Rattus norvegicus: one gene and its partners. The protein of the gene in region 3 interacts with the protein of the main gene of each other region in a biochemical or structural test. Links are inferred from orthologs where the notes say so. Each region holds a gene or a part of one and is shown on either strand. Other genes may lie near its edges. The genes, in order: Cdc34, Dcun1d4, Cul2, Ube2d1, Dcun1d3, Cops5 and Dcun1d5.

What was found.
Region 1: the proteins of Cul2 (region 3) and Cdc34 form a complex in vitro, tested with the Homo sapiens proteins (2 studies listed by BioGRID). The link is inferred for Rattus norvegicus from reciprocal best matches to the Homo sapiens genes CUL2 and CDC34.
Region 2: of the proteins of Cul2 (region 3) and Dcun1d4, one has a biochemical effect on the other in vitro, tested with the Homo sapiens proteins (2 studies listed by BioGRID, with this or other methods). The link is inferred for Rattus norvegicus from reciprocal best matches to the Homo sapiens genes CUL2 and DCUN1D4.
Region 4: the proteins of Cul2 (region 3) and Ube2d1 form a complex in vitro, tested with the Homo sapiens proteins (2 studies listed by BioGRID). The link is inferred for Rattus norvegicus from reciprocal best matches to the Homo sapiens genes CUL2 and UBE2D1.
Region 5: of the proteins of Cul2 (region 3) and Dcun1d3, one has a biochemical effect on the other in vitro, tested with the Homo sapiens proteins (2 studies listed by BioGRID, with this or other methods). The link is inferred for Rattus norvegicus from reciprocal best matches to the Homo sapiens genes CUL2 and DCUN1D3.
Region 6: of the proteins of Cul2 (region 3) and Cops5, one has a biochemical effect on the other in vitro, tested with the Homo sapiens proteins (3 studies listed by BioGRID). The link is inferred for Rattus norvegicus from reciprocal best matches to the Homo sapiens genes CUL2 and COPS5.
Region 7: of the proteins of Cul2 (region 3) and Dcun1d5, one has a biochemical effect on the other in vitro, tested with the Homo sapiens proteins (2 studies listed by BioGRID, with this or other methods). The link is inferred for Rattus norvegicus from reciprocal best matches to the Homo sapiens genes CUL2 and DCUN1D5.

What each region holds. Positions count from the first base shown.
Region 1 is NC_086025.1:10,670,783-10,675,014, forward strand, and holds the start of Cdc34 (ubiquitin-conjugating enzyme E2 R1), read right to left. Parts: upstream 2,826-4,232; 5' UTR 2,808-2,825; coding exon 2,631-2,807; intron 431-2,630; coding exon 344-430; intron 244-343; coding exon 146-243; intron 18-145; coding exon 1-17. UniProt on the Homo sapiens protein: E2 ubiquitin-conjugating enzyme that accepts ubiquitin from an E1 ubiquitin-activating protein, and catalyzes its covalent attachment to other proteins by an E3 ubiquitin-protein ligase complex. In vitro catalyzes 'Lys-48'-linked polyubiquitination.
Region 2 is NC_086032.1:35,074,369-35,078,478, forward strand, and holds the start of Dcun1d4 (DCN1-like protein 4), read right to left. Parts: upstream 2,922-4,110; 5' UTR 2,836-2,921; coding exon 2,811-2,835; intron 1,968-2,810; exon of another isoform or gene 923-1,967; intron 1-922. UniProt on the Homo sapiens protein: Contributes to the neddylation of all cullins by transferring NEDD8 from N-terminally acetylated NEDD8-conjugating E2s enzyme to different cullin C-terminal domain-RBX complexes which are necessary for the activation of cullin-RING E3 ubiquitin ligases (CRLs).
Region 3 is NC_086035.1:58,867,042-58,870,665, forward strand, and holds part of Cul2 (cullin-2), read right to left. Parts: intron 2,533-3,624; coding exon 2,466-2,532; intron 1,102-2,465; coding exon 899-1,101; intron 522-898; coding exon 420-521; intron 1-419.
Region 4 is NC_086038.1:17,306,940-17,311,282, reverse strand, and holds the start of Ube2d1 (ubiquitin-conjugating enzyme E2 D1), read right to left. Parts: upstream 2,825-4,343; 5' UTR 2,728-2,824; coding exon 2,704-2,727; intron 1,404-2,703; exon of another isoform or gene 1,300-1,403; coding exon of another isoform or gene 1,297-1,299; intron 1-1,296.
Region 5 is NC_086019.1:183,678,905-183,682,528, forward strand, and holds part of Dcun1d3 (DCN1-like protein 3), read right to left. Parts: intron 2,650-3,624; 5' UTR 2,544-2,649; coding exon 2,113-2,543; intron 373-2,112; coding exon 1-372. UniProt on the Homo sapiens protein: Contributes to the neddylation of all cullins by transferring NEDD8 from N-terminally acetylated NEDD8-conjugating E2s enzyme to different cullin C-terminal domain-RBX complexes and may play a role in the cell cycle progression by regulating the SCF ubiquitin E3 ligase complex, after UV damage.
Region 6 is NC_086023.1:13,978,222-13,981,845, reverse strand, and holds part of Cops5 (COP9 signalosome complex subunit 5), read right to left. Parts: coding exon 3,456-3,624; intron 2,514-3,455; coding exon 2,385-2,513; intron 1,911-2,384; coding exon 1,845-1,910; intron 1,071-1,844; coding exon 985-1,070; intron 1-984. UniProt on the Homo sapiens protein: Probable protease subunit of the COP9 signalosome complex (CSN), a complex involved in various cellular and developmental processes.
Region 7 is NC_086026.1:12,695,957-12,700,023, reverse strand, and holds the start of Dcun1d5 (DCN1-like protein 5), read right to left. Parts: upstream 2,865-4,067; 5' UTR 2,625-2,864; coding exon 2,539-2,624; intron 949-2,538; coding exon 857-948; intron 1-856. UniProt on the Homo sapiens protein: Contributes to the neddylation of all cullins by transferring NEDD8 from N-terminally acetylated NEDD8-conjugating E2s enzyme to different cullin C-terminal domain-RBX complexes which is necessary for the activation of cullin-RING E3 ubiquitin ligases (CRLs).

The DNA of each region.
Region 1 (4,232 bases), on a different chromosome or scaffold from region 3:
CACTCAGGAGGATGGTCCTGTAGGGCCGTAGGTGCAAGCTCAGCTCCCCAGACTCTGGGAACCCCTGACTGGAGCAGGGAAGGGTGGATCTTAGGGTACAGGGTGTTTGCGGGTGCCCACGGTGCAGTTCCATGGCAATTCTCACCTGACATTCTGCGTGGGGTTCCACCGCTCTGAGGGTAGCTCCCCACTCTGTGGGTCATCAACTGGGGGATGGAGGATGGAGATGCATACGTCCCCTGTCTGCAAGAGTGACCAGGGTTAGAGGAGGGGTGGGGCATGTGCAAGGGAGGCAGAGAAGTGTGTGGTGGAGTGTGCCTGAAGCAGGCCTCTAGTGTCTTACCTCATAGATGTTTGGGTGCCACATCTTGGTGAGGAACCGGAAGGCTGGTGGGGAATATGGGTAGTCGATGGGGAACTTGAGGCGAGCCTACAGATGGCAGAAAATGGGGTGGCTCAATGGCAGGCCCCCGAGCACTGCTGGAGTCAGGGGCTGTGCCCACCTGCCGCTGGTGTACAGGCCCTGAAGCCAACTCCAGTCTTTGTACACCAGTATACACACAGCACACCTCTGTGACTTGACATCCAGGTTAGGAAAGGCAAGGCGGTTAGGAAAGGTGTGGGCTAGCTAGAGGAGTGAGTCAGCAGGTCTGCCTGGCCTCAGGCCTCCCACCAACACCACCCAAGCTCAGGGGCCCAGGCCAAGAGTAGTCACCAGACAAGCTGGAACCATCTGCCTGGTCACAGCAACTGCTTGTGGCTGAAGCTCACCCTGCCCACTGCCCCGACCTTGGACAGATAGAGAAGGCCTGAGATTTGCCCTAGTCTTGGAGCTCCCCAAGGACAGCTTCCAGTGTTCTGCCTGGCGCACACAAACCTAGTGTGGAGTTGCCACCCCGATCCTCTCAGGAGAGCAGATGGGGAAGGTGGCATTGCTGGAACAACACCCCACACTTCTGGGGCTCCAGATGCTTCTAAGAATGAGCAGACTGAGGCTCAGAACAGGAAGGGTTCTCTCAAGTGAGACAGGCTGGGCTGTCCAGAGAAGCTCCTCACAGCTCCCCTCCTACAGAGACTCCCCACGTCTCAGTCACTCACACCATATAGGAAGCTCCTACATTGGCGGATTTGAGTGACATCATGCAGGGCCTCCTCCTAAGCTACCTCAAGAACAATGTGAGCCTAGGAGGCTCTACCCACAATCCTTTACGGGCAAGGAAGAGTTCAGGTGACCCTGCTCTGAGCACCCCCCCCCCCCCCCCCGCAAACACAGGAGACAAGGTGCTAACAGCATCTGCATGTCCTGAAGGCGGCTCAGTTCAGACCACCTCCAGGTGGGAAGCGAGGGTGTCCACATGTGTCTCCCTCCCGTTCTCCACATGCTGTACCTGGAAACCCTAACTCAAACATTCCCCTGCATAAGGAGACTTGTGACTTTCCTAAGCACTGACCAAGAAGGGTGAGGACATCAGCCACAAAGGAAGACGCAGAACAAATAAGTGCCACGGCCCTACATCTGGGGCCCCAGACTGGCTGGGGTTTGCGTGCACCTTTGGCCCTAACATAAGATCCTGTGATTCTGCTAGTTCTAGTCCATGGCAGGCAGGATGATTCAACTGTGCTGACATGGGTACCTATACCTGGCCAAACATACTCAGTGTTGGGGGCTGCCTAAGCCTCCCTGCTCCCAACCACAAAAACATCTGGTGCATTGAGCCTGAAGCCACCAGAGGGCAGACGACACCCCTTAGAAGGAAAAATCAGGCCCCTAAGACTCCACCTGTTCAGTGGAACCTGAGAAAGGCTGTCAGGGTGGGGCAAACAGAGAGCTCTAGGGTCCAGGGCCCTTGGCAGGAACCCAAGGTGTGGCTCCAAGATTCAGGGTGGGCCCCCACCACCCCCTTGAATGCATTACGTGAAGCCTGGCCAGTGCTAAAGGTGGCTGTTGTCCAACAGGCACGGCTGCCAAGGCCCTGCCAGGGCCTCTACTGGAACTGGAGCAGGTGGCTGTCCAGGCTACACGTCTCTTCCCTGGGGACACATCGGCCAGTGGCTGCTCTGGTTGTGTTCCAGGGTAGGGGACAGGCCTGGGGATGTCAGCCAGCAGCTGCCCGTGGTCCTTTATGTCTTGAGATATGGACAAACTAAGGTGAACCTTTTCAGGTTTCACCACATGCTGGTGGGGTGAGGGACAACCTGGGAACATGCTTGCCAGCAGAGGGCTCCAGATGCTTCTGCGTCTTGTGGTGGGGAGAACTACACCGGAACAAGAAGGCCAGCAACTGTCCCTGGGGAGACCCTTCACCAGAAGCATGTTGGAAGAGTGGGGACAACACGGGGAGATACATCCCCAGGTACATGCTTAGTCCAGTGCACGACAGCCTGGGAACACACTGACCAGCAGCAGGCTCTAGAGGCCCCTACGTCTTGTAGTGGGGGTCTGCCTGGGGGTGCGGCATACATTAGCTGTCTCTGGTCATGTAGCCTGCTGGAGAACAGTATAGGGAGACCAGTCCCCGGGGTGAGGTCAGCACGTGCCCAACAAAAAAGGGAGGGGCCGCTTTGCACGAGGGGCCTGAGCCAGCCTGGGAGAGAGGCAGGCACAAAGAGGAAACTGAGGCTCGGCTCACCTTGAAGTAGCCGCCCTCATAGTAGGTGTTGGGGGGTCCGAAGATGGCCACCTCCCAGTTGTACAGGTCGCCCTCGTCCACCAGCGTCACCCGGAAGCCCTCCACCGGCTCCTCCTGCAGCCCCTTCAGCTCCAGCAGCAGCGCCTTCTGCGAGCTGGGCACCAGCGGCCGGGCCATGGCGGTGACGGCGGCGGCGGCGGAGGGGCCCGGGGCCGGGGCCGGGCCGGGCCGCGGGACCGGCGCGAGCTCGCGGGACGGACCGGGTCGCGCGCCGGCAGGGGGAGAGCCGCCGCCTTCCTCCTCTGCGCCGCCGCCGCCGCCACCACCCGGGGACCCCGAAGGCTCCACTCGCTCTGGCGCCGCTGCCCGCCCGGCGCTCGCTTCGGCCCGGCCCGGCCCGCGCCTAACGCGCCTGCGCGCCGCAGCCGCCGGGCCTCGAATGCGCCTGCGCACCGGCTCCCGGCCCCGAATGCGCCTGCGTGCCTCCTTCGGACCCCGAATGCGCCTGCGTGCCACACCCGGGCCCCGAATGCGGCTGCGCGCCGCTGCTGCCGGGCCGGAAATGCACCTGCGCGCCACTGCCGGGTCTAGAATGCGCCTGTGCGACGCCTCCACCGGGTCCGGAATGTGTCTGCGCGCCCGCCCGCGGGGCACGCCGGGAAGTGTAGTCTTCTTCCCCCGCCCTGCCGCGCAGGCGCCTTGCGTTTCCGAAGCCCCGGAGGCCGCCGTCGCCTCCGGCCGGAAGAGCTCCGCGGATGCCTGTGTGCGGAGTGGCGGGCAGGGCTGGGCTGCGCGCTGCGGAGTGGCAGCTGCGGCTTTGGGGGCCTTTTCTGTGACGTCAAGGGGGCGTGGTTGTGGGTGGGGAGTTGGGCGTGGCTTGTGCGGGAGCGGAGCAGGATCCGCCCTAGTTTCCCATCATGAAGCTATGGATGTCCCTATATTGTCTCTATGGGCTCAGGTAGAAGGAGGGCCCACAGAATCGACGATTTGGGGTTTGCAGACCTGGCTTCCAGCGGGTGGAGTGCTAACCTCTACCCTGGGAGGACTCTCATGTCAGGCTGTCCTTTGACCACACCCTAGTCCTGCTTAAGCAGTGGTGAGGCATCCTGGAAAGTTACAGGAGCGGGAACAGACACGCAAAGTCCCCGAGGTTGACCGGCATAGACACCCACACTCCTTTCTTGGACATTTGGTCATGAGTATTGAGGTGGCAGCATATTCAAGCCTTGCAGACAGGTGTGTGGTGTACCCGTGACCTCTAGGGGTGGGTGGTTCTGGCCCTAGGCTGTGTTGTTCACACAGCTGGACTGTGGGTGTCCTGAAGGACTACAGCTGCATCAATAACTGGGGCTGGGAAAAGGCAGCTCCCCCGCCCCGTAACCCCCCACAGGTGTGCCAACATCCTGTCCTGGCTGGGGATATCAGGCAGACCTGTTTGGGGATAGGGAAACAGTGTCAAAGGTGGGGCTGGTTGATGTGACCAGGAAGAGCCAAGGATCCAATGCCACTTGCCTGTCCTCCCCCTGGGAACTCTGGGCCCTTGGGCTAGAAAGCTTTCTGGTCATACTCCTTTTTCAAGGGCTTCCAGTATCATCTGTTCCC
Region 2 (4,110 bases), on a different chromosome or scaffold from region 3:
ATACTTTTTTGAAAAATGTCTGTAATATATACAAGACGGTTCTTAGAGATTTTACTGCAGATGTAAGTCAAAACAGGATAGATATAAATTATTTCTCTAAAACACCATATTCTAACGAGTTTCTTATTTCAAAAGCCATCCTGTAAGGTCTAGAGAGACTGCCCAACACCTAAGAGGATCTGAGTTTCATTCCCCGCACTCAGTTGAGCAGCTCACGACCACCTATAACTCCAGTTCTATGGGATCCCAAGCCTTCATCTGATCTCTATGGCATCTATATGCACGTGCACATACCCACACATATATACACTTAAAAATAGTAAAAATAAGTTTTAAAGAATTGTCTGCTACATATACAAGTTCAATACTGTCTTAATTGTGTCAGGTCGTTTCCAGATCTTAAAACTCATCAAGAAATGTATATAAGAAATACTCAAGTTAATAAAAAATAATAATAATAAAAAAATTAAAAAAAAAAACTCATCAAGATGTTTACAATTGGGGGCTGGGGATTTAGCTCAGTGGTAGAAGCGCTTACCTAGGAAGCGCAAGGCCCTGGGTTCGATCCCCAGCTCCGGGAAAAAAAAAAAAAAACAAAAAACAAAACAAAAAAAAAAAAAAGATGTTTACAATTGGGTTATTAAAACACCCCTCCAATGACCATTCCAATTACTGATGGTTCATAGAATTCGATACACCACACACCAAAAAAAAAAAAAAAAAAAAATCTTAAAGCCCCCACTTTGGGAGTGATCACTAAGGAGAACTGGCAAAGGATGTGGCTGGTGGCTGGAAGTCCACAAACTCAGGAAGACATGTAATGGTCAAGAGAGAAGGACAGCTTGGCATCCAAAGGGCAAACAGCAGCCCCGTTTGCTTTACTTACATAAAAGTTAAGACATCACAGTTCCCCTTTGCTCACCTTTAGGGTTTCATTTCAGGTTCTGGCATGAGACTACTTCAACCTCAAATTCCACTAAGCTGCCATTCTTGATTTGCTTCCAAAAACAAAAAACAAAACCCTAATTCTTGGGCAAACCAAGTTGCCCAAGAAATATCAGTGCAGTTGTCTGTATTTTCTTCACAAGGGATGTATTTGTCTCTACTTAGTTTCCATACTTATGTAAGGATGTATATACTTCACCCTAGACTTCCATACACTGAATACACTCTAAATATTCCATGATAAACATTGCTTTAAAACGAATGTATGCAAGATGTTTCAAAACTAAGCATTCGTTCCGCAAGGCTACCAGATGCAGGGGAAAATTAACTCGGAGAAAGGCCAGGGCTTGGCCTGGGCTCGCCCTCTGCGGTGCCCAAGGAATCCAGGAATCTCCCGGAGAGAACGCATTGGGTCTCCGCGGCATAAAGCACGAGTTAGTCAAGCAAGGAGGTTCCAAGGGACGCGCTGCATTCTGGGACTCGTTTCCACAGTTACCCACGTGCACCCAATCCAACCGCGGCCCGGGCAGCTGAGACTACAAGTCCCAGAATTCCATGAGCCTGCCTTTCCCTTTACACCGGTTCCAGGAGCCAGACCCTAAAGGAAACCCCTAAAGGACCCTCCCGGTGCTTCGGGCGGAGGTAGCTTCTCGCACGCGCGTTGCTATGCCTCCAAAGCGGCCCTCCATACAGGTTAACAGGTCCTGACGCATCAGTCTCTACACCTGATAGTCAGAAATTAGGGAACTGCGTCACACACTGCCAAACCTACGGACCGCCGGGGACCCTGACACCTCTTACGCTAATTCCTCCACCCCGCCTCTAGGACCCCTGCAGGTCCGGTCAGCAAGCAGACAGCGGCCTCCGGGTCCTGTAATCCCAGCCCGCGTTGACCTCACTCCCGGTTGCTCGCTAAAAGTGGCAGCCACTGCCAGCCTCGGGACACCTCCCGAGTACCCGGCCCCGCCCCCTCTCCTCTGTGCACCCCGATGCTCAGGGTGGTCCCCTCCTAGGCTGGACCGGGCCTCTCCCGGGAGGAAGCACCTCCCCCAATGCACAGTTCAACGCTCCCCACCCCGCCCCAAGAGCACCGAACCCGAGGATGACAGCCCTCCCCATCCCGCTCCTCCCCACCTACTCTTCTTCCTAACTCACTCTGCACACCCTCCCCGACCCCTATCTCAGCCCACAAACTGCATCGCAGTCCTACCCACCATCCACTCCTCCAGGGACCCCCATCCCAACACCTGCCCCCAAGCCCTCTCGCCACTCCCGGCCGCCGTCCCGCACACCAGACTCCACAACTCTCCCATCCCACTGCAGTGTCTCCCACTCCGTGTCCGGGTTACATCAGCCCCCAACCCCTCACCCGCCCGGTCGCTGCCCCTGCTCCCCACCCATTGTTCCCGCCCCCGCCCCCAGCCCTCCTTCCTATTGTCCCCGCCCCCGCTCCTCTCGCACTCCCCCGCCTTCCCCGGTAGACTGCACAGCTCCGGCACCGCAAGCCTCACCCGGTACTCAGACCGTAGGGTCTCTCCCTGCCCGCTCGTACCACCCCTGACCCCATCTGCCAGCGCCCGCCGCGGTCTCCACCTCCGTGCACCACCGACTCCCGGCCCCCGGCCTTCAGAATATGTCCCCCCTCCCCCCACCGCGGAAAGCCAGCCAGTCCCCACCCCCTCCCCGCCGCCCCTGCCCCCGCCCCAGCCGCCCGCAGCGTCACGGCCCTCGGACTCCAGGAGGGGAACAGCTCGTTCCCGGGCCAGGGACTCCAGCGCGGTAGGAACCGGAGAAGTGGAGAAGGGAGCACGGGAGCGGACCGGGTGTGCGGGCCCGCGCCGGCCCGCTGGCTCTGTGCTACTCACTGACAGCTGCAGCATCCGAGTGCATTTTCGGGCAGCTCACACCCGCCTGCCGCCCGGGCTCCCGCGCTCCACTCGCGGTCCCCCTACCGACTCCCCAAACCTTAGCTCTCAACAGAGGACCGGCGGCTCCTACTCCGACCCGCCCATCCCGCCTTTCTCATTGGCTAGACCACCACCGAGGGACCGCCCCTCTTCGGCTCTCATTTGACCGAAGGAGTGCAGGTTGCGCCGCCTGCAGCAGGCAAAAGGACCCCGCCCCCTAGACTGCAACGTGATTGGCCCCGGCTCCTCACCTCGGACCGCCCCTGGTAGAGGCCACTATTCGGAGCCGCAGGTTGGACCCAACGGCTGTCAGTCATTCAAGGGTCCGAAAGCGCGTGGAGGGGCGAGACAGGGGACTTGGTCTATCTTGACCCTGAAGCCCCGCCCTGTGGCGGGCGGGTCCTGGAGCGGGAGACCAACAGAGAGACCAACGGAGAACCTAGGTTAAGCATCCGAAACAAAGCGGGCGGAGGGACCCGGAGCCAAGCTGGGGGCCACAGGGACCGGTGCTCCCTGGTAGGCGGTCGGCCAGATCCTGATCCTGCCCGTGCCCCGGTCGCGCCAGTTCTCATCAATCGTTTCCCATCGCGGGAAATTAGGAAAAAAAAAAAAAAAGCCTCCGCTTTCCTCCCTTTTATGCCACAACCTTTCTGTCCCCAACTTTGGAAATGCGCCTCCTTTTTTTAGAGTCAATTATTCAGAGTTGTGCATTGCTTGCGCCAAAGGTTTCGAATGCGCAGGCATTGTCCGTCCGACACTTCTATGCTCCCCAGACAGCGAGAGAAAAACCCAGTGCCACATTAGGCTCTGGGGTCAGTCAGCCTGTCACCAGGACAAGCTAGGTCCCCTGACTATACGTCTAAGAAACATAAGTTGAACCTGGCCAAACCGCTGTTTAACAGAGGAAAGCGTTAATAGGGTTGTGATTGTTAAGTGTCTTGAATCAAAATACTGCTTTTGTTGTTGTTTCTTTACGTTTTTCAGTACTTGAAAACCAATTCTCCTCAATCACTATGGTAATGCAATAACGCAAAGAGATGCTGGAGGACGGGCGCCCCGCCCCCACCGCGAACACACTCTCCACTTGGGAACCTCCAACAGCCCTTGCCCCAAGCACAGCCTGGACTGCCTATAGATTCTGCCACAGACATTGGATGATACGTCCAAAAATAACAAAGGGGTCCGGTCCAGCGTTAGTATTCTGAATTCTACCGCCTTGGCTCTTGAGTTGCAGAGTTCCGAAATCTGGACGGATGTT
Region 3 (3,624 bases):
GGAGGAATAGAGGGAGAGTAGCTTCAAGAAACCATACCCAAAATTGACCTTTGACTATCAAACATATACACTGCTCGGCACAAAGGAAAAGCAGCAACAATAAAACATGTATTAGGGCTATGCCAATACCACAACCATCCTCTAACACCTCCAGTGGTTATAGATTTGTGAGGACAACGATCGGTCACGCTGGAGTTTATACTAAGCTATAATGCAATACAGCTAAGCAGTAAAAAGGACTTAAGTTGCACAGGACAGTATTTTAAGAGTGAGCCTCTGGGCCAAGATGCTTTCAGATGGAGCTGTAGCAAGGTGCAGTGGTTAGCACTCAGTGCACAACATCTTGGTATAAAGTAGACTCACTCAATGCACTGCGCCTAGATATTTCTAGGAGAGATGACATTCAAGCCAGTACTTACTTGTGGTGTATCCTTCTGCATTGATGTAGTAATCTTAAATTTTGTTCTCTTACTGCTGAAGCTCATATTTAGTGAAAATGAAGATTCTGCATCGATATCTTCCTATATTTAAAACAAATTTTTTTTTCTGATTTCACATTTACCATAATGTTACTCAGTTTCTATGTAGGAAGTAGCTATTTTAAGGCCCAGACATTATACACATTATCTTCTGCCTGACACTGCTGCAGTAACCACAATACTAACTACAACTTCCAGAGTTGACCCTGGAAGAAATAACTGTTGCTTCCAAGGCTCTGATGGATCCAGTTAACCCCCAATAGCATTTTGTTTATTGTTGGAAAAGTCAAGGCCTTTTCTCCTAGGAAAGTCGCTAAGCTAACTCACAGAGTCATCTGAATATCATACAACCTTAAAACTACCAATATCCCACACAAGATCCTCTATCTGCTAAGGGCTGAAGTCCTTGGGAAGGTTACCTTTTCTGAATCATGGTTAATCATTTTCACATCAAGTAATGATTTGATTGTTTTAGTTAGCTCCTTTTCATTCATCTGGGTGCTGTCTTGAAGCTCTTTGTAGCTGACAGTTTCACTGTTGTTAAAGGCAAGAAGAACTGCCATTTGGTAGGTTGTAACCATAGCTACATATGGTTTCCCCAAATAGTTCATTTTAACTTCACCTACAATTAAAACAAAAATTGACAGTACAGTGATCATCCATTTGACATTCTGATTGTTTTCCTTAAAAAAAGAAAAAACAAAAAACAGGCATCTGAAGGTTAATGCAAAGGTAATCCAAAGCTCTTGACTAGAGAGCAATGGGCTGTCAATGCTGAAGTCGTGAGTATGTATTATAGCAACAGTTGATCTACTGCAGCTTTTGTCAGAACTTAAGCAGTGACTTTAGATGACTACCAACAGGAAAACGGAAGCAGAACTTATTTAGATGACTACCAACAGGAAAACGGAAGCAGAGCTTAAGCAGTGACTTTAGATGACTACCAACAGGAAAACGGAAGCAGAACTGGTTGGAAGGAGAGGCAGCAGAAACAGAACTGAGTGGAAGAAACAGAAGAGACAGCTGGGAACTACCTCTCTAACTTTGTGTCTTATAAGATAGTTTAAGTTCAACCCTGGTAACCACATTGTGGAAGAAGAGAACCAAGTCCTAGTTTTCATGCCAGAAACACCACACACACACACACACACACACACACACTCACAAACACACACACACACACACTCGCGCACACACTTGAAATTAAAGATGAAAACATAAAGATCAACATATTTCACATTAGGAAGAAAATCAGAAGACTCAATTTATTCAATAAGCTTGCACAATAATAAGCCATAATCTAAGATGCAAGCTAGTAACACAAAAGCAAATGGTGCTGGTTCTGAGATCAACCTTTTAAAGGCAAAAGCAGGGCTCCTAATAAAGGTCAAAGAACCAGGACAGACTTCCTTACATCATTTCTTTTTTGTTGTTTATAATTTTATGCGTGGGGGTGTTTTGCTTGCATATATATCTGCAGGACAAGGGTGCCTGGTTCCTGTGGTGGCCTGAAGGGTTTCAGATCCCGTGGAAGTGGAGTTACAGCTGGCTGTGAGCTGGCCCGTGGGTGCTGATCCACAGCCCTTCCTGAAGCCTAAGAAGAATAGCCCTTTGCTTTGGCTGACCATCTCCAGGGAACCGAGAAGAAAGACATTCTTAGAGTATTTGAAATAGAAGTCGGTGACAGGGCTAAGGAAACTCTGGAGAACAGATACTCAAAAATATCTTACCCATCAGTCTGCTTTTCTAGACAAACGCTCTACTATCTATAAAATGACTGGCTGCAAAAATGTACTGTCATTATAAAACTCAAAGAATGTCTTACAATGAACATCAGCAGCATTAGATAGTTCCTTAATGATACCAGAGAAGGAGGCAGAGGAAAGCAGATTAAAAACTAGAATTAGAACACAGGAATTAACACTCTAAAGGAACAGAATCACATAAATAAAGATCATTAAATGAGTAGTAAGTAATTGTTTTTACCTGTACAGAGATAATGTAACCATGTCAGTTTCCTTCCACTGAAATGCTGGCTATAAAACAATTCAAACTGTTGAGAGAGAGAGAGATGTCAAGCTAGATGTCAAGTCAAGGCCCTGGAACTTCTTTATCACGATACTATAAAGGCAAAGGTATCATAACCCACCCAATGATAAACCTTGTCCAGAACGCCCGCTGCAAACCGTGACGAGCCCATGGCTATGTGGGTATGCTGCCATCACTGTGGTGCCTCTGCTGAGGCTGCAGCAACTTGCTGCGTGGTTCTTGCACACAGAGTGCGCTACCCAAGCGTTGTGGTGTGCACCCAGTCCCAGAGACGTGCAAAGCTGACACAAGCTCACTTAACCCGGGAGTCTGAGGCTATGCTGAGAAACAGCACTAAAAGGGGCAGGCAGAGTAACTCAGGCAACCGAATGCCCACGCAGGGCAGACTCGGCCCTGAAACATTTCTCTTCTACAATTTAAGCTGCTATGACGTGTCAGTGTGTTATTTATCCCAGTTTTTGTATGTATGTAAGAGGTAAAGTTAACATGGGCGTGTCTACCTCAAGTATTTTCCATATCACTTTCAGACAGGCTTCGCTGAATCTAGAGCTTGCTCTCTGGGCTGCACTCGCCAGCCAGGAATCCCCCAGTGTCCTTGTTCTCTGTGCACAGCATGGGAGCTGGAATCTAAACTCAGGTCCTCACAGTCCTCTTGTTTGAGCTGCAGTCACCTCACCCTACCTCAGCCCGAGCCTCAGTCCTATCCCGACTCTTACAGCTTGTCGAGATTTCCCAAACCAACACGTGCTAATTTTATAAAATCAGAAATAATATCAATATTAATATATATTAATAATATATAGCAATATTAATCTGTGTTAATATATCAACTATACTTTAATATATTGTTTAAAGACTAAATATACCATCTCGTACGTTTCAACAAATAAAAGACAGGCTGGCCCATGTATGTGTGTGGTTAATACAGAGTGGGGTCTATGATACAGCAGTCATAGGAACGAAGCTGTTCAAGCTGTCTCTGTCTACTGCCTTTTGCTGACGTTTAAGTCTGAAGAGTCAGTGGCTAACGAAGCGCACTCCAGCAGCAAATGACTTTCCGGCTCCCAGAACCCACAGGAAATTGCTCACAACCCCA
Region 4 (4,343 bases), on a different chromosome or scaffold from region 3:
CCTGAGCAAAACTCGTCTCAACTCCAGCCCCTGCTTCTGTCTTTGGACGAAGAGAACACAGGAGAACATCAGGGCTTTTGACCTTTCCATGTTAACCCCACCTCAGCTTCCAGGTCCAGCATCTTTCCACTGGCAGCCCTGGGCTCTACAGTGACTTTGCTCCCTGCCCTGGGGACTGTCTCTCTCCCTGTATTCTTTGCTACCCCACCGCCAAGCTGGGATTCCATGAACGTCAAGGGCTGATACTTTTAGGTAAAGAAATGGTGAAGTTATCACGTCATTGCTTTAAAAGATATTGAAGAAGAAAAAGAAGAAGAAGAAGAAGAAGAAGAAGAAGAAGAAGAAGAAGAAGAAGAAGAAGAAGAAGAAGAAGAAGAAGAAAAAGAAAAAGAAGAGGAGGAGGAAGAGGAGGAGGAGGGCGGTTAGAGGCTTGGGAGATGGCTCAGCAGTGAAGAACTACTCCTTCAGATGACCCAAGTTCAATTCCCAGCACCCACGTCAGACAGCTCACAACCACCTATGGCTCTGGCATCAGAATACCTGATGCTGTCTCTTACCTCTTCTAGCCTCTGTGGCCACCCCCACACATGTGGCATGTACTCACACATACACACACTAAAAACAAAAATTTTTTTAAGGCCAAAGGTTCGCATTGAACTCCATTTGTTGGACTGAACAAGATTCAAATGAGAATGGGAACACAGGATACCAGAGGGCATTGATGCAGCTCATGGGTGGCCTATTTGACCTGGACTTAGTTCTAAGCAAGATGACAGGCGAGAATGGCAGAGGACGGTAGAATCCGTTGGGGGCGAACGCGGTGGCTGGCATGTATGACTGATGATTCGTGGCAGTCAATGCGGGGAACATAGAATCATGTGACCTCCCATGTCTTCTCCACAATACCAGTTTGTCACAGATTTGCCATCAGTTGTATTTAAGGTTATCGTCATACTAGACAATTCTGTTTAACACCCAAAATCTTAAAAAAAAAAAAGAAAGAAAAAAGAAAAAAGAAAAAAGAAAAAGAAAAAGAAAAAAAAGAAAGGAAAAAAGGAAAAAGAAAGAAGGTGTGGACGTTTTCCATACTAAGTCAAATACATAAGTCAAGCTTAGCATGACCAATAAGACATACCAAGACTACACATCCAGTAATACATTCTTTCTCTGAATGGATATATTCTATAGATAATACCTATGACATCTAAGAGCTATTGTGTGTGCGCATGAGAGAGAGAGAGAGAGAGAGAGAGAGAGAGAGAGAGAGAGAGAACAAAGCCACATAGAATGCCTCACCATCACGAAAAGAAGCAAAGTTTGAAAACTTCCAAAGGGGAAACCAACAGAACATCGGCGATCAGAAGTCAGCAAGGCAATGACGGCTGCGGCTTCAAATTTAGGCTTGTTTATACGGTTAAAAATAAAGTGCAGCCACGTTATCTTCCAACGAGAAAACGTCATTATTTAATAAACGCTGATCTTACATTTTATACCAAGTTGACCTTCAGCGGTACAAAGAACAGCGACGATCTACACAGCTGATGTTCGAACCAAAAAAAGAACCCCAAAATCTGGCTGCGTGTAAAAGTTGCTGTCCTCTGTACCGAAAGATGCCTGCCGACTACCACTCTAACTCTAACTCAGAACATTTGCAGTCAAGTGTAGCTGGAAAGGTTGATAAAAACGTTTGGGGAGCCATCCATTTCTTGTGAAATCAATTACCAAACACATTATCCACTGCTTCCATTTGCTTCCAAAGCGTTCCCAAACACCCGGTTCCCAGCAGCAAGGGCTGCCGGCTGTAAAATGTTAAAAGACACTTGAGTCAGGGGACAGGCCAACAAGAGAAATGGGTGCGGTAAAGAATACAAAGAGAGGGTTGGGACAGATGCTAGGTGTTGACCCTTCGATTGTCTTCCTCATTCTCTAGTCATGCATCAAAGCATCCAAACAGTTTAATTTGTGGTCCTTAGTGTTGTGTCTTCAACTCTACATCTAAGTTTATCATGAGGATGTTTTAAAAAAAAAAAAAAAAAAAGCAACAAACAAAACCAACAACCAGCTTGGCTTGCCTCGCCTTGAATCACAGCCAGGAGGTCATCTTGCTGTGTATCAGCAACTATGTACTCGGTGCAGCTATGTGACCTGAAGTGGCAGCTGCGTGCAGAACCACCAAAATAGCAGGGGCAAGAGCTTTCTGCTGGCTCCTCCGCCCCAATCCCGCTTCCCCAACCCTTTCCTCCCACTGAGCACCATCCGACTGCAAAGCCCAGAAAGACCCAGCCCCACTCTCTGAGAATAAAGGCCGTAGGCCCACCACACCTTCCCTGTCCTCCCGGGGAGCCCGGGGTGCGAACACAGGAAGGAGGGCTCCGGGGACCTGGTAAGGACGCACGGCGTGATAGGGCACGCAGGCCGCCCGCTGCAGAGCAAGCCCCTGCCCAGCGGGGATGCACACACCCCGGGGCAATCTGGCCACCGCACCGGCACCCGCACCCGGGGTTCTAGGCTCAGCCTGGAAAGGACACGACCGGATCGGGTTGCCCCGGGTTCCAAGCACCCGGACCCTGCGCATGCACGCCTCACCTGTGCGGGCCGATCCGCACCCCGGCCTCCCTAGTGCCCGCGCCCCTCCCACGCCGTGCACCCCGAGCTCCTGGGGACCTCTCGGGGACACCCAGGCCGGTCCTAGCAGCCACTCACTTTCTGGATCCGCTTCAGCGCCATGGGGCAGGCGGCGGGGGCTGCGGCAGGTCCGCGTGTCCCGGGCTGCCGCCTCGCGGGGCTGCTCCGTGTGCGCCCGGGCGCGGTGCGCGAGTGTGCGGGCGGCGGCGCCGGGCTCTTTTGTTTCCGCCTTCGCTTGCTGGGAAGGAGCCTGCGCCCTCCCCGCCGCGCCCCGCCCGCCTGGCACACTGGGAAGTGTAGTTCCAGGCTCGGCCTCTGCCGCCCGCGCGGACGTCGTCTGGTCACCCGTGGGTGACAGCTGCGACCAGGCTGCTGCTTACTCCCTGCAGCCGCTCTGCAGAATAAGGGCCAGAATCTGCAAAAACCGGGACAGCAGGTGAGCTGTCGGCTCTTAGGAGCTGCTGTGAATCACGGGTCGCTCCTCCTCGCACAGACCCTGCAGCAGATCTTAACTTCCTTTTTAGATATTTCTGTTTCTTCTCCGCTCGCCCCCGGGAGCGTGAGGAGTCTTCGTCAATTGCACCCCACCTTATTTTTTTGAGGCAGGGTTTTCCCTTTATGTCTTTTTGTCTTCATCTCCCAAAAATGGAATTGCAGACAGCTTCCCACACAACCGACCCTTACGAGGTCTCCGGCATCCGAACTCGGGTCCTCAGGCTTGTGCAGCAAGCATTTTGCCCACTGAGGCGTCCTTCAGTCCCTTCTCAATTCCTGTGATCTCAGATTTTGCTTGTCCTTTCAACCATGTCTTCTTGGCTTGGCACCTGCAGGATGAGTTTTCGCTTTGCTCAGTCTCAGATTTCCGACGGCTTTGGTCAGTCTTAGGTTTCTGATGACTAAAGTCAATCCATTCCTTATCCGAAATGGTTTTGAGTCCCGTTTTGCTTCTCAAAACACTCACTGCCCCGGCTTCTACAGTGTCCCTGCAGCTAAATCAGCCACATCTGGGAAGTTCTCTTCTCCTGCTTTGCAGTGGTCCACAGAAGAACGACGCCACGCCCTCTGCACAAACTAGAGATGAGTTGCAGCCCAGAAAGGTCTGAGGGACTGTGCTTTGCAGAGGTCCACTCAAGCAGTCCTGCTCTGTCTGCACATCGGTCCACTTTCCTGTTCCCAGGTCCCCATCAGCTGTGGCAGGGGCCCTTTGCAGTCTTGCCTCTACTTAGCAGCGTTCTTCCGGGCGCTGTTTTTCTTACTCAGAACCAAGCCACTACCCCCACCCCCTGTGTGTGTGTGTGTGTGTGTGTGTGTGTGTGTGTGTGTGTGTGTGTGTTTGTGAAATTATTTCCCAGGAGCTGTACACCTTGTTTTTTGAGACAGGGTCACGCACAGGGACCTGAGCCTCACCCATTGGGCTGGCCTGGCGAGGAATCTGCTGTCTTTACCTGCTCGGCGTTGATTTTACACACAAGCCTCATCATCCGTACATTTGTTCATGGGCACTGGGGATGGAACTAGGGTCCTCATGCTTGCTGATCAGCACTTTATAGGCCGTGTCTTCCCACCCATTGTTGTTGTCGTTATTGTTTTATCTCCCCTCAAAAGAAGAGTGGCGTTAACATGCAATTCATCTTTTTAGCCAGGGACCAAACCATAGATCGGCCCTTCTTGTAGCAGATCATGGAATGCCGGGTCTTATACACACTAGAATAAGAATA
Region 5 (3,624 bases), on a different chromosome or scaffold from region 3:
CTCGGCCAGGCCTCATCTTCACTGTAGTTGCTGAGGTCGGGGCCAATCACCTGAGTGAAGTTAAGAAACATGTTCCAAGTGTCCCGGGAGATGCCCTTGATTCCCGAAGGGTTCTCTGTTAGGAAATTTAGCCACTGGTCCAATACTGGAGGATTGTTCTGTGTAAATACTAATTTCCACAGGGCAATGGCTATTTCACGATGCAGTGACCGCTGCCCTTCTTCAGAGTCCAGGCCAAACTGAAATGTAAACCGGTAGAGATCCTTGAATTTATCTTCTTGTTTGGCTTCTGTTAAGAGGCTAGGGAAACGTGCACAGATCCCATCAATGCTGTCTGCACTTATTGCTTTACAGCCGTCAAAAAACTCCTTCCTGCAACAGGTAGGAGAAGGCATGATTAATAAGTAAGAGTGGTGCAGTGTATGAGGAGGCAAGGATATACGCGCAGCTAACACCCAGCCCAGCCCCAGCTCTCGGAAGGCAAAAACAGTACCTCTTCTAGGCCAGCCTGGTCTACTAAGGCCAGCTAAGGCTGTGCAGTCGCAGTCAGACCTGGCCTCCAAAGTAGATGGGTGGGTGGATAGATCGAGCCGAGTTTAGTTCCCACAACGTACATGGCAACTTCAAATCCAGTTCCAGGGGATATAACACACCTTTCTGGCCTCTGAAGATACCAGGCATGCACCTCAGAGATATGCAATGAGGCAAGACCCTCATACATATAAAATAAAATGGAAAACAACAAATGTGCCTTTGGGGGCATGGCAAGAAGGCTCAGCAGGTAAATGTACTTGCCACCAAGAATGATAACCTGATTTTGATCCCAAGAACCTACATGGTAAAGAAAACCAACTCCCTCAAGTTATCCCTGGTCCCTTCACATTTAAAGCATGGCACATGTGCACATGCATGTACACATACATAGGGCCGAAACTATGTAGTTAAAATTTCTTTTAACTACTTTTGTTTTTGTTTTATGAGATAGGATCTCACTATGTAACCCATACTAGCCTTGAATTCTCTTCCTTGTGCCTCAGCTTCCTGGGGGCTGGGATTACAGACAGGTACCACCACACCCAGCTGCATATGTACTTTTTAACTGTATACAGCACTAACAGGGTTTCACACTGATTATCTCAGGGACTGTAGTGGTGAGGCATTCAATTTATTGAAAAGGTCATATAAATTAGCTGTGTTTTAAAGTTCCTTCTGACAGGTCAGGTATGGTGGCTCACACCTTTAATCCGAGCCCTCAAGAAGCAGGCAGAACCTGGAGTTTGAGGCCTGCTTGCTCTACATATCCAGTTTCAGGCCACTATAGTTCTTCTTCATAACCCTGCACTCTTTAAACCATGGTCTGCCATGACCCTGCCATATCCTTGTATACAAACAACCCCAATATGGATATATAACTGTGACAAATTGTACAACTGCTACTTGATATTTGGGGCCAGCTGTCCTTGCTGCACACAGGCCTGGCTTAAAGGAACAAGCTGAGAACTCCAAAAGCAGTAGAGGTATATTCCCAGTGACAGTCTATGGACACCTAAGTGCCTGGCAGACTACAGATAAATGACTAAACTGACATGTGAAGGAATAAAAGACAAGTTCTGAGCAGCTAGTTGTCAGGAGGGCTGAGCAGCAGTTAACAGAAGTGTTCACACTGCTTAGTCCTTATTTAATTTTAGGTAGAGGGTCGGTGCCCAGTAACTTGGATTGCCTCTTGGTGCTTTTGTGAATTCAAATGTGATCTATCAATCAGGCAACACTTTATTCTGTGAGGAAAACACAGAACAGCACATATTAGACAAGGAAGCTTTGCAGAGATACAAATCCCTGAGTCTTACCTACCTGGAGAGATATACTCAGTAGTTCTGCTACGAGTTTTGGACACAGGATAGAAAAATTAATTCCTTAGGAGAATCTAGGAAGTTCTCTGGACTAGAACTACAACTCGATACTTAAGCTTAGAGAAAATGGCCAGGAAGGGGATGGGGACCACTTGCCCCAAACCTGTGAAGCCATTCCAATTCTGTCCTAGTGGGCACCACTACCCAATGTCATGTTTTCCTCCTCTGGTCCCTTCCTGACATGAAAGCATCTGTAACCAACCTGGTGAATTTGCACATGGTAGCAGCCTGGAACTTCCAGGCCAAGAGCAGCACTCGAAACTCCGTAGGATCAACACATAGGTCATTGCAAAAGCGCTCCATGCCTTCCTCCAAAATTGCATCCTCCCGCTCATCCTTATAGCGCCTGAACAGTTCTTCCAACCTCTGCAAGGAAGACTCCTCAGCATTGGTCTTGGACTCCCTCCCTGCATCTCCAGAAGAAGTTGGCAGCTGGCAGGCCTCGGTGGCAGCCTCTGCTTTCTTGGTCCCATTGACAAGAATATCCCCAGCTGGTTTGCCACAAGGTGGCACCTGTTCCTCACGGTGGCTAGCCCCCCGCCTGCTGTGTGACTTGCTGCTGGGGTCCCGGTCTCCATTCTTGCTGCCCAAGGTTGATGAAGGATTCTTGCATTTGGTGACACACTGGCCCATGGTGATTGTAGCCTGGCCTTCTAGAGTGGCCCACTCTGGATCAGATCCCTTCGCTGCCACTGGTCCATGTACTTCAACATGCCATCAGTTAGAGGAGCCAGCCAACCTGGAAGGAAATTACAAAGTAGTTACCTTTCTGGGCAGAGGAGTGGTGTACAGACACTAAATCCCAGAACTGCCCACCAGTGACCACTCTATTTCACTGAGCTAACAATGAGCCAAGGGAGAGAACCCCACCCCAGCTCACTGTTTGTTACCTTTCCTGTAAGCTCTGTGGGATGCTTACCCTTGGATATGGGGGGGGGGGGGGGTAACAGAGAACCAGCATGGGAAATTCCTAAAATCCTTAAGGCAGCATAAGTTTTAAAAGGCTGATTCATTTGCAGAACACATCAAAGACTACAGTTCTAACAGAATATTCCAGAGGAAATCTGTCTTGTCAAGTTTTGCCTTCACATAAGAGTTATCTGGACCTGAGTTAAGCCACAAGTTCATCATCTGGTTCTATACCTAATACCTACAAACTCAGATTTCAACAAAGATTGCTACAGTCTTTTCCTCTCAGCACAACACAAGCAACACCTTGGAGGATAAATTACCTTGGCCTGGTAGCCATGGCAACTAATTGAGCAGAACAATACAGAGGTAGCTAAATCTATGATAATGGTAATGGATGGAGCTGGTGACACTCCTTAGTAGGAATCAAGGAGAGTTAAAGGAGCCACACCTCACCACAACCATTCTTCCTCCCTCCCTGCCCTCTTGCAGATGCTATAGTACATAAGGAAAATTAACTGAAAGCAGGATTTCATGATGAAGCTTCCATCAAGTCCCCAGCAATAAGGTGCTGTAGCTATTTTAGGGTTACTTGTGCTCCTGAAAGTACCCTGCACTCTGTAAGGATGATTTGTCAAATTGGATTCTGGTAGAATAGAGATAAGAGACCATACCCAAGCCACCTGTAATCTCATAATGGTCTAATGGTGAAGTAAGAAATGTCAAAACTACAAGCAGGGGCCTAGCCAAACAGCAAAGTGCAACGTGCCTGTGTCTCTGGATTCACACAAGTGTACTGTCATAG
Region 6 (3,624 bases), on a different chromosome or scaffold from region 3:
GGTCACAGAGTTGTGCAGTTGGGTAAGGCTTATGGCTCTCACTCTTGGCAAGATGGAACATTACTTTGAGGGAAGGACATGCTCTGCACACATGCTAACGGGACCAGTCTGGCTGGTCCACCTTTAGGGTGAGGGCAGATATAGGAAGAGTGGCTGTGTACGGAGCGCTACGCTGGAGCTTCAGATGCAGTAGCTTGGGTGAATGTGCAGGAGGGAAGGTGGTGAGATACATTTACAAAGCCTGTTAAAAGAGCTAAGACAGCTAAAACGGGCATTTGAAAAAATGACATTTATTTATTGTGTGTGTATGGGTGGGTCCCATGTGCATGAACGTGGAAACCAGAGAGCAACTGGCAGGAATTATTCTCTTTCTGTTGTATGGCCGTGGGGACTGAACGTGGGGACTGAACTTAGTTGCTGATGCTCCAGCAGAGCAATCAGTTAGGTTAGTGCATGGCACTTATACAACAGTACACTTAGGCCGTCGGCCTCGGCATCAAAGACCTTCAGTCACTGTGCCATCTTCCCATTCCAAACTGTGTACTTTAAGGGCAGCAAACTTGCTATTGTCAAGCTGTGCCTGGGAATGTGTTTCAACTGCTAATCTTACTATGGACTGAGTATCTTGTGCAATGAAATGATCTAGATTAAAAGAATTATTGAGGAAAACCATAAGTAGAAAGAGAATAATTATTAGTTTAAACACTTTTATCATTATCCTAAATTCATATTCTTTTTCTACTATTTCAAAGGTATTACATATTATGAAATACATTTTGTCTGAGTCAGGTGTGAAGTAAGTCTTTGACTGAATGAATTCTGAGTTTTGGTGCTGGGCTTTGAACCCTGGGCCTTGGGAATGGCAGGCGAGCAAGTCTGCTGAAGTGGAAGGTTGAGCTGCATCACTGACAGATCCACCACTTCCACTTCAGCCTGCTGCTGTGCCACGTCTGTAGCCCTGACAACAGTCCAACTGCTACTCACTGTTTGCAGTGCACGCCAAAATCTTCTATTTTATTGAGTGGGATAGTCTGGTACTCTGAAGGTCCTTCATCAGGAGGCTTATAGCCCTAAATAAAAGCAAGGAAAACAAAAAATGAAAATGACAAAAAGCAAAGCTTTCTCTGCAGCTTCTTACGTATGGGACCAAACTGAGGAGCGCCAAACAGTAAGCACCAATACTGGGATAACAGCTGGGCCTGGTGCTTACACGCTACTTTCAGTCCTAGGGAGGCAGACACAAAAGGACTGCTGGCGCTGTGTACTTTCTAGTACTTGTCAAATTGCCACGGGTGCACCAATGTTTCTTGGTAATAAACCCTATGTCTGGCAAGATTACTAAATAACAAATGTGTTATTGCTTGATATGAGCTGTAGCAGTTTGCAACTTTGTATTTGAAAATCCTTCTACACTAAAAAAGATATCACAAAGGTTGCATATATAGCTCAGGGGTAGAGTACTTGTCTAGGTACTGTTGGCACTGGAGAAAAAAAGCTTGTGTATAAATGTCAGAAGCTAAACTTGGATTCCAGAACCCACACAACACAGGCCTGGTTAGTGCACATCTGCACTTCCAGCTGTCTGTGGTCAGACGGGAAGTAGAGATAGGATGTACAAGAGCCAGCTAGCCTGTACACAGTGAAAAGTAAAGATCCAGTCTCAAACAAGGTAGAAGGAGAGGACTGACTCCCCAGGGTCTCTTCTGACCTGCAGACCCATGCCTGTACTCACAAACACATCACCCCAGATGACATCCGTAATCCCAATACTTAAGACGTGAGTAAAGTCAAGGCTAATCTCAACTACAGGAGATTCCCCCTATACAGCCCTCCATCCAAATCACCTTTGGATATGTCCTAAAGGCGCCAAGATTCACCTTCCCTGCAGATATTGTTCTGGTTGGGTCAATCTACAAGAGACGGATGGGCAATATAAGCCAAATGCTCCACTGAGTCAACATCGGAAACCGAAAAAAACAAACATAGCACTGTAGGCATGCACACTGCACTAGCGAACAACCTGAAAACAACTGAGATCATTAGAGAAGTTCAGTGAACTAGGAATACTTCAACTAAATTTAATGACTGATTAAACTTCTGCTTCTCCAATTCAGTCAACCCCGATTAAATGCCTATGGGCTAGAGCGTGAGGTACAGCAAGGTTAAGACTCCCTAGGTAGAATAACACCAGAGTTTCATTTTTACCACACTGTTTTCCAGGATGGTAAAACTTAGCAAGTCTTCTTGAAGAACTTCATAAAAGCATCTCTGTAAAAACCATGCATAAATATGCAAGTCTGAGACTTTAGCATTGTATGGAAGAGGAAGGTCTGTAAACTGGTCAGCCAGCCTAGCCACAACAATGAGCCCCAGGTAGTACTTACCACCACTGCTACAAATGGTTCCTGAAACTGCTGGTTAAGCATCTGTGTACTAACATCAATTCCGGAGAGCCAGCAGCCATAACCAGGGTGGCTGTGATACCAACCAATTGCATTCTCAAGGCGGCCAACCTAACACGTCAGAGAAAAAGCTTGCTTGAGGTATGGTTTAGTCTCAGAGATGCTGCCATTTACAAGTTTCACATAGCACTGTGGTTCAATGACAGCGTGCAACATATGCTGCTTTGACGTTAAGGAACTTCTGACCAGACAATACATTCACGTAGTGTAAAACTATCAACGTGCAAGAACAAGGGCATCTAGTTTCTTCTCTATCTTTCCCCTCATCATGAGTTTCTCAGCTCAGAAACTCTGTAGACCAACACACATATCTGCACATAGCTACATACCACATACTTTTTTTTTTTTATTGAAGAAACAATTCTAGAGCTTGTCCACCTAAGTAAAGAGATACTTTTTTTTTTTTTTAAAGCCCACATAGTTCATTATAGTCCATTAATAGATATACCCTACTCAGGAATAGTTTATTCCTAAATTTGTTGTTCTTGGTTTTTTTGAGGGGCACAGGAGATATTGAACTCAGGGCTTATGAATGCCGAGCATGAACTCTACCACCAACTTACATCTCCAGCCTACATTTATTTTAAAAGATTTATTTTTCAATGTATATAAGTATAGTGTCATTGTCCTCAGACACACAAGAAGTGGGCATCAGATCCTATTACAGATGGCTGTGAGCCACCATGTGGTTGCTGGGAATTGAACTCAGGATCTCTGGAAGAGCAGTCAGTGCTCATAACCATTCAACCATCTTCCCAGCCCCATTTTTTTTTTTTTAATTTTAAACACAATTGACAGTGAAAATGAAAATGTATCTTGGAAAGACCCACCTCTCCCAATCTAATACTATAAATCTCACAAGAACTTTAAAATTTCACATAAAAACCAGTTCAATTTAAAATGTAGAATTTATTGTGAAAAGAACAGTTTTAAGTTCAGAAACTCAGAAGTTGAGACTCAGGATTTTTTAAATTTAAGAAACACTATTTTTACCTGTTTGGCATTTTCTATGTATGCAGCCATGTACTCGTATGCAGCAGCCTGGGCATTTACTCGGGTTTCAGTGCCCTCTACAGGCAAAGCAAAGCTGTCCATGATGATCATGGTCTCTCCATCCACTTTCCCGAGCATCAAACCCATCACCTCCAGGTTGCCTCCTGAC
Region 7 (4,067 bases), on a different chromosome or scaffold from region 3:
AGGAAAATGATATACTTATCATAACTCATGGAGCACTATAGCAATTATCACGTTGACTGTTCAAAATGTCAAGAGTTAAAAATAAATATTTAATTCCATCTTAAAATACTCAAGGAAGTCCTAATAGGAGCTAATAGAATCAAGCATTCAAGGAAAAAAAAAAATATATATATATATACATGCATAATGACCATCTTTATGGTGTCTAGTAACCTTTATAAAGTGAAATAAGATGAAACTTTCTGATTCTATATAATGCATTTTTAATAATGGGTCAACGTTTTAAATAGAGGTCAGCCAAAAAAAAAAATTTCTCTATATTTAATTTGGGTTAGTGGTTGTCTTGGGATACCAGTAATAGCATTTATTTCCCCTGATCTAGAAAGAATCTATTCTGCTACCAAACCATTTTTAAATTGTACAATTGGGATCACTGGTGTTCCCAATAGCAAAGTTGCTACCCCCTTTTCAAACTAGTCTAGCCTTGCATACAGTTAGCTTAACTTGACAAGTTAGGATGCCATCACTTAAAAGAGTAACATGGTTAGTATAATAACAAGGCAACGACTACTATGTGTTTTAGCTTTAAGCAAATACTTCTGAGAATAATAATGATAAAAGAAAAACAAAAACATAAAAGTAGGAAAGCAGGTAAGAGATTAGCTTTAGTATTAAGACTAGACCTGTTCTAAGGAAGAAAAGTTGTCAGATATGTTCATGGCACTAAATTCTGAGCCAATCCCTAACCCTTTAGCCTTGACCCTAATCCCAGTAAACATAACAGGTCAGGAACAAGGAATAAACCACAGCTTCTAAATGCAAATGATATGGTATCCTGTTAAATGAATTTCATTACCTGCATACTCATAAAACCAAGCCAGGCACTTCTTTCTTGAAAAATCTTCCTCTCCACTGATGAGTCTAGCAGGAGGCTGGGATCTGCAATAGCTTAGAAACACGTAAATGTCTAAGGCTTAATAAGACTCAACTTTAGTACAAAAGTAGCTTCAACAAGAATAGCTTCCATGTAAACAAAATAGTGGTTTATAAGTCAGCATTATGGGGAAAGGATTAGCAATAAGGACCTGCACTCAATGAAATCCAAATGCTACTTTGTTTGCTACCAGATTCCAAAAATAGTGCCTAAAATGATTTCCTTAGATTTCAAGATAATAAAGAAGTGCAGTCTAAGTCTCAACCCAAGACTAGACAAGAAAGTATAAACCTCTCTCCCTAAACTACTCATGTTGGGCTTGCTCTCTACCACTAAGCTATAGACCTTATCGAATGCCTGAAGACTTACTTCCATTTTGCCACTGATTTGTATGAAGATCTCTGTTAAAATTTAGGCTGAATCACTGGATACTGCCCAGCTAGCTGTTTTAACTGGTTTAAGTTAAACATCTTAGATATAGTTTTCCAAGAGCTAAGGTCAAGAGAAATGTTAACCACCAAAGGGCATAATGAAAACTGAATCTTATACATCACCCAAGAAATATCACCTAGACTCTTTTGCTAAAACACACTAAGGGCGGGAGAGGGGGGCACAAAGCAATTGATTACAAAAAGATTAGGATGAAACCAGTCACTTCTTTCATATTTTAAGCAGTGCATTCCTCACTGCATCTCTCCTTAAAGAGAAATCTTCTTTGTGTAGTGCTGGCTGTCTTGTTTTAATGGTAGTATTTTGTCACTTTATGTGTCAACCATTAATACAAAACAACCCATAGAGTATGGGAAGAAGCACACTTCTCAAAGTTAAATCGCAATAACTTTCAGAGCAATAATGATTCTGTGATGATTGAATGTATGCCATAAAGGGAGTGAATGGCTTTAACTTCAGTTTTGCTTTGTTTTCTTTTCCTCTAAGAGAACACAGAACACAATAGCTTGCAAACACCTAAAAGGGGACTGAGAGCTACTATCTACTTAATGCTACAAAACAAAAACCACAAGGGCCTTTTCCAACTCTGTGTAGGGAACTGGTACAGGTGGAGGCATGGTGCCTCTAGAAGCTGAGCCTCCAGCTATTTAAAAGGTCTCCTGCTGGGATCATCCACGTTAGGCCACTTCTAATACTAACTCAGGAGACCAATTATAGCATAGGCTTCCTTTCCACCATTCCCAAGGCAGCTGTCAAACTCTTCAAGCTCTGCTCCTTTCTTCACACCCTGATATTTAACAATGTGTGGGCCAAGCCAATTCTGCTTGTGAGACACAGGGACGCGATGAATCTTGGCAGATCCGCACTCACTTCTCGGTTGGGAAATTGGATGGAGAAGGCATACGTATGGTCGTCTGTTTCCTACCCTCTGGGCACGCAGACAACAAAGTGGGGTGAATCTCAGAGCTTGTCCAAGTACGCCAGAGCTCACGCACAGGCGAACACGAGGTTCGGTCCCGCGCGGAGCGGAGACTCTGGGCGCCTCACCGACCGCCTCGCCCGAGAGGGCTCGCCTCTCTCGTCTAGGCTAGCGGCTGGCGGCCTGTCCCGCAACGGGGAAAGGAGAGAGCTTGCGGGGTGGGGGCAGGCGGTACCTGGAGATTTTACACTTTTTGAGGCCCGCGTCTTCCGCGACCGCCGCTGCCACTCCGGGAGCTTTTCTCTTCTTCTTCACTGGCATCTTCCGCCTTCCCCGGCAAGGTGGACAGGGCGGCCGGGGAGGGGTATCGCGCTCCGCCGCAGGCCCCGCAGCGCCGGCTCCCGCCTGCCAGGGACCGCAGCGGAGGACCGAGGCGCGACCTCGCCTCGGGTTTCCTCTTTAGGGGCGATTCGGGGCAGCGCAGCGCTAAGCCCGGCGATAACGCGGCTCGGGCTTTTCCAGGGGAAGCGAACGCCGACAGCGCGGCACCTTCAGTAGTCGCGAAGAGCAGGCGGCTCAGCCTGACCCGGAAGCGGATGGCTCAGGACCGGAAGTGACGCAGCAAGGAAGCTTGCCGAGCCGGAGTGGTCTCCCTACCTATGGGCCTTTAGGATTTGCGTCTCTGCAGGTGGAGCCTCAGTCTCCCGAGTTTTTCGGGCGAGTTTCCAGAGGGAAGTCCTTTATAAAAATCATGAACGCTCCACAGCTGGCGAGCGAAGTAATCTGGTGAGGAGCCACGCGTGAATGTGCCCACTCCTGACCTACAGCGTCTCCAGCCCTTTGGGTGTTCTTGGTGGGCCTGAGATCAGTGTCTCACGCTCCTTGTCCTTTTCTCCCTCATGCTCAGTGTCAGTTTATGGCTTCCTCCTGTGCTGAGGCAACGCCTCCATGTTTTACTTCTGAGGAACTCTCCTCGTGGATAAGAGACTGGAAAACTGACTAACTTATACAAAGGGTTTGGGAAACCATTCTAATGGACCGCTCTCAAGAAACAGGAATCATGTTACTTCTAATGGAAATATTGTTTATAAGAAGGGTATGGTTCGGTCCCCAGCTCCGAAAAAAAGAAAAGAAAAAAAAAAAGAAAAAAAAAAAAAAAAAAAAAGAAGGGTATGGTATGTCTAGTTATCTCCTAGAAGATTCTTAGTGAATGAAGTTCATGTCTGTAAGCCAACTGTGCTACCATAGTAGGACCCTAATCTAGTCAGAGTTAAGGAGAAAGAGAAAAAACGGTTGTTGTAATGAGTTCTGGACATATAGTTAATATATTTTACCAATGAAAATAATTTTCAAACCTATACTCCATTCAACCCTATTATAAACACTGCACAAAGCATTGTTTTTATATGAAAATTACAAGATCTAAGCTCTAAAACAGAACTCCCTATAGAAGAAAGTAGACAACTGAAAGATGAAGATTTTTTTTTAAATATGTATTTATTATTGGGGCAATTGTGTACCAGTGCTGGGATGACAACTTGACAGTTCATTTTTCTCTATCTTGTGACTCTTGAGGTGGAATTCAGGTTGTTAGGCTTGGGAAGGGACATTATGTCTGTATACAGAAGCACCTAGTTATGTGATTTACTTTTTTCTGTTGCTCGTGATAGTTCTTGATTTTCACCAAGCTATATAATGAGAACCTATGACAGTGCTGCAGTTTTTTTTTTAATGTAGTTTAATTTTCTTTTACTAAGTAACAAG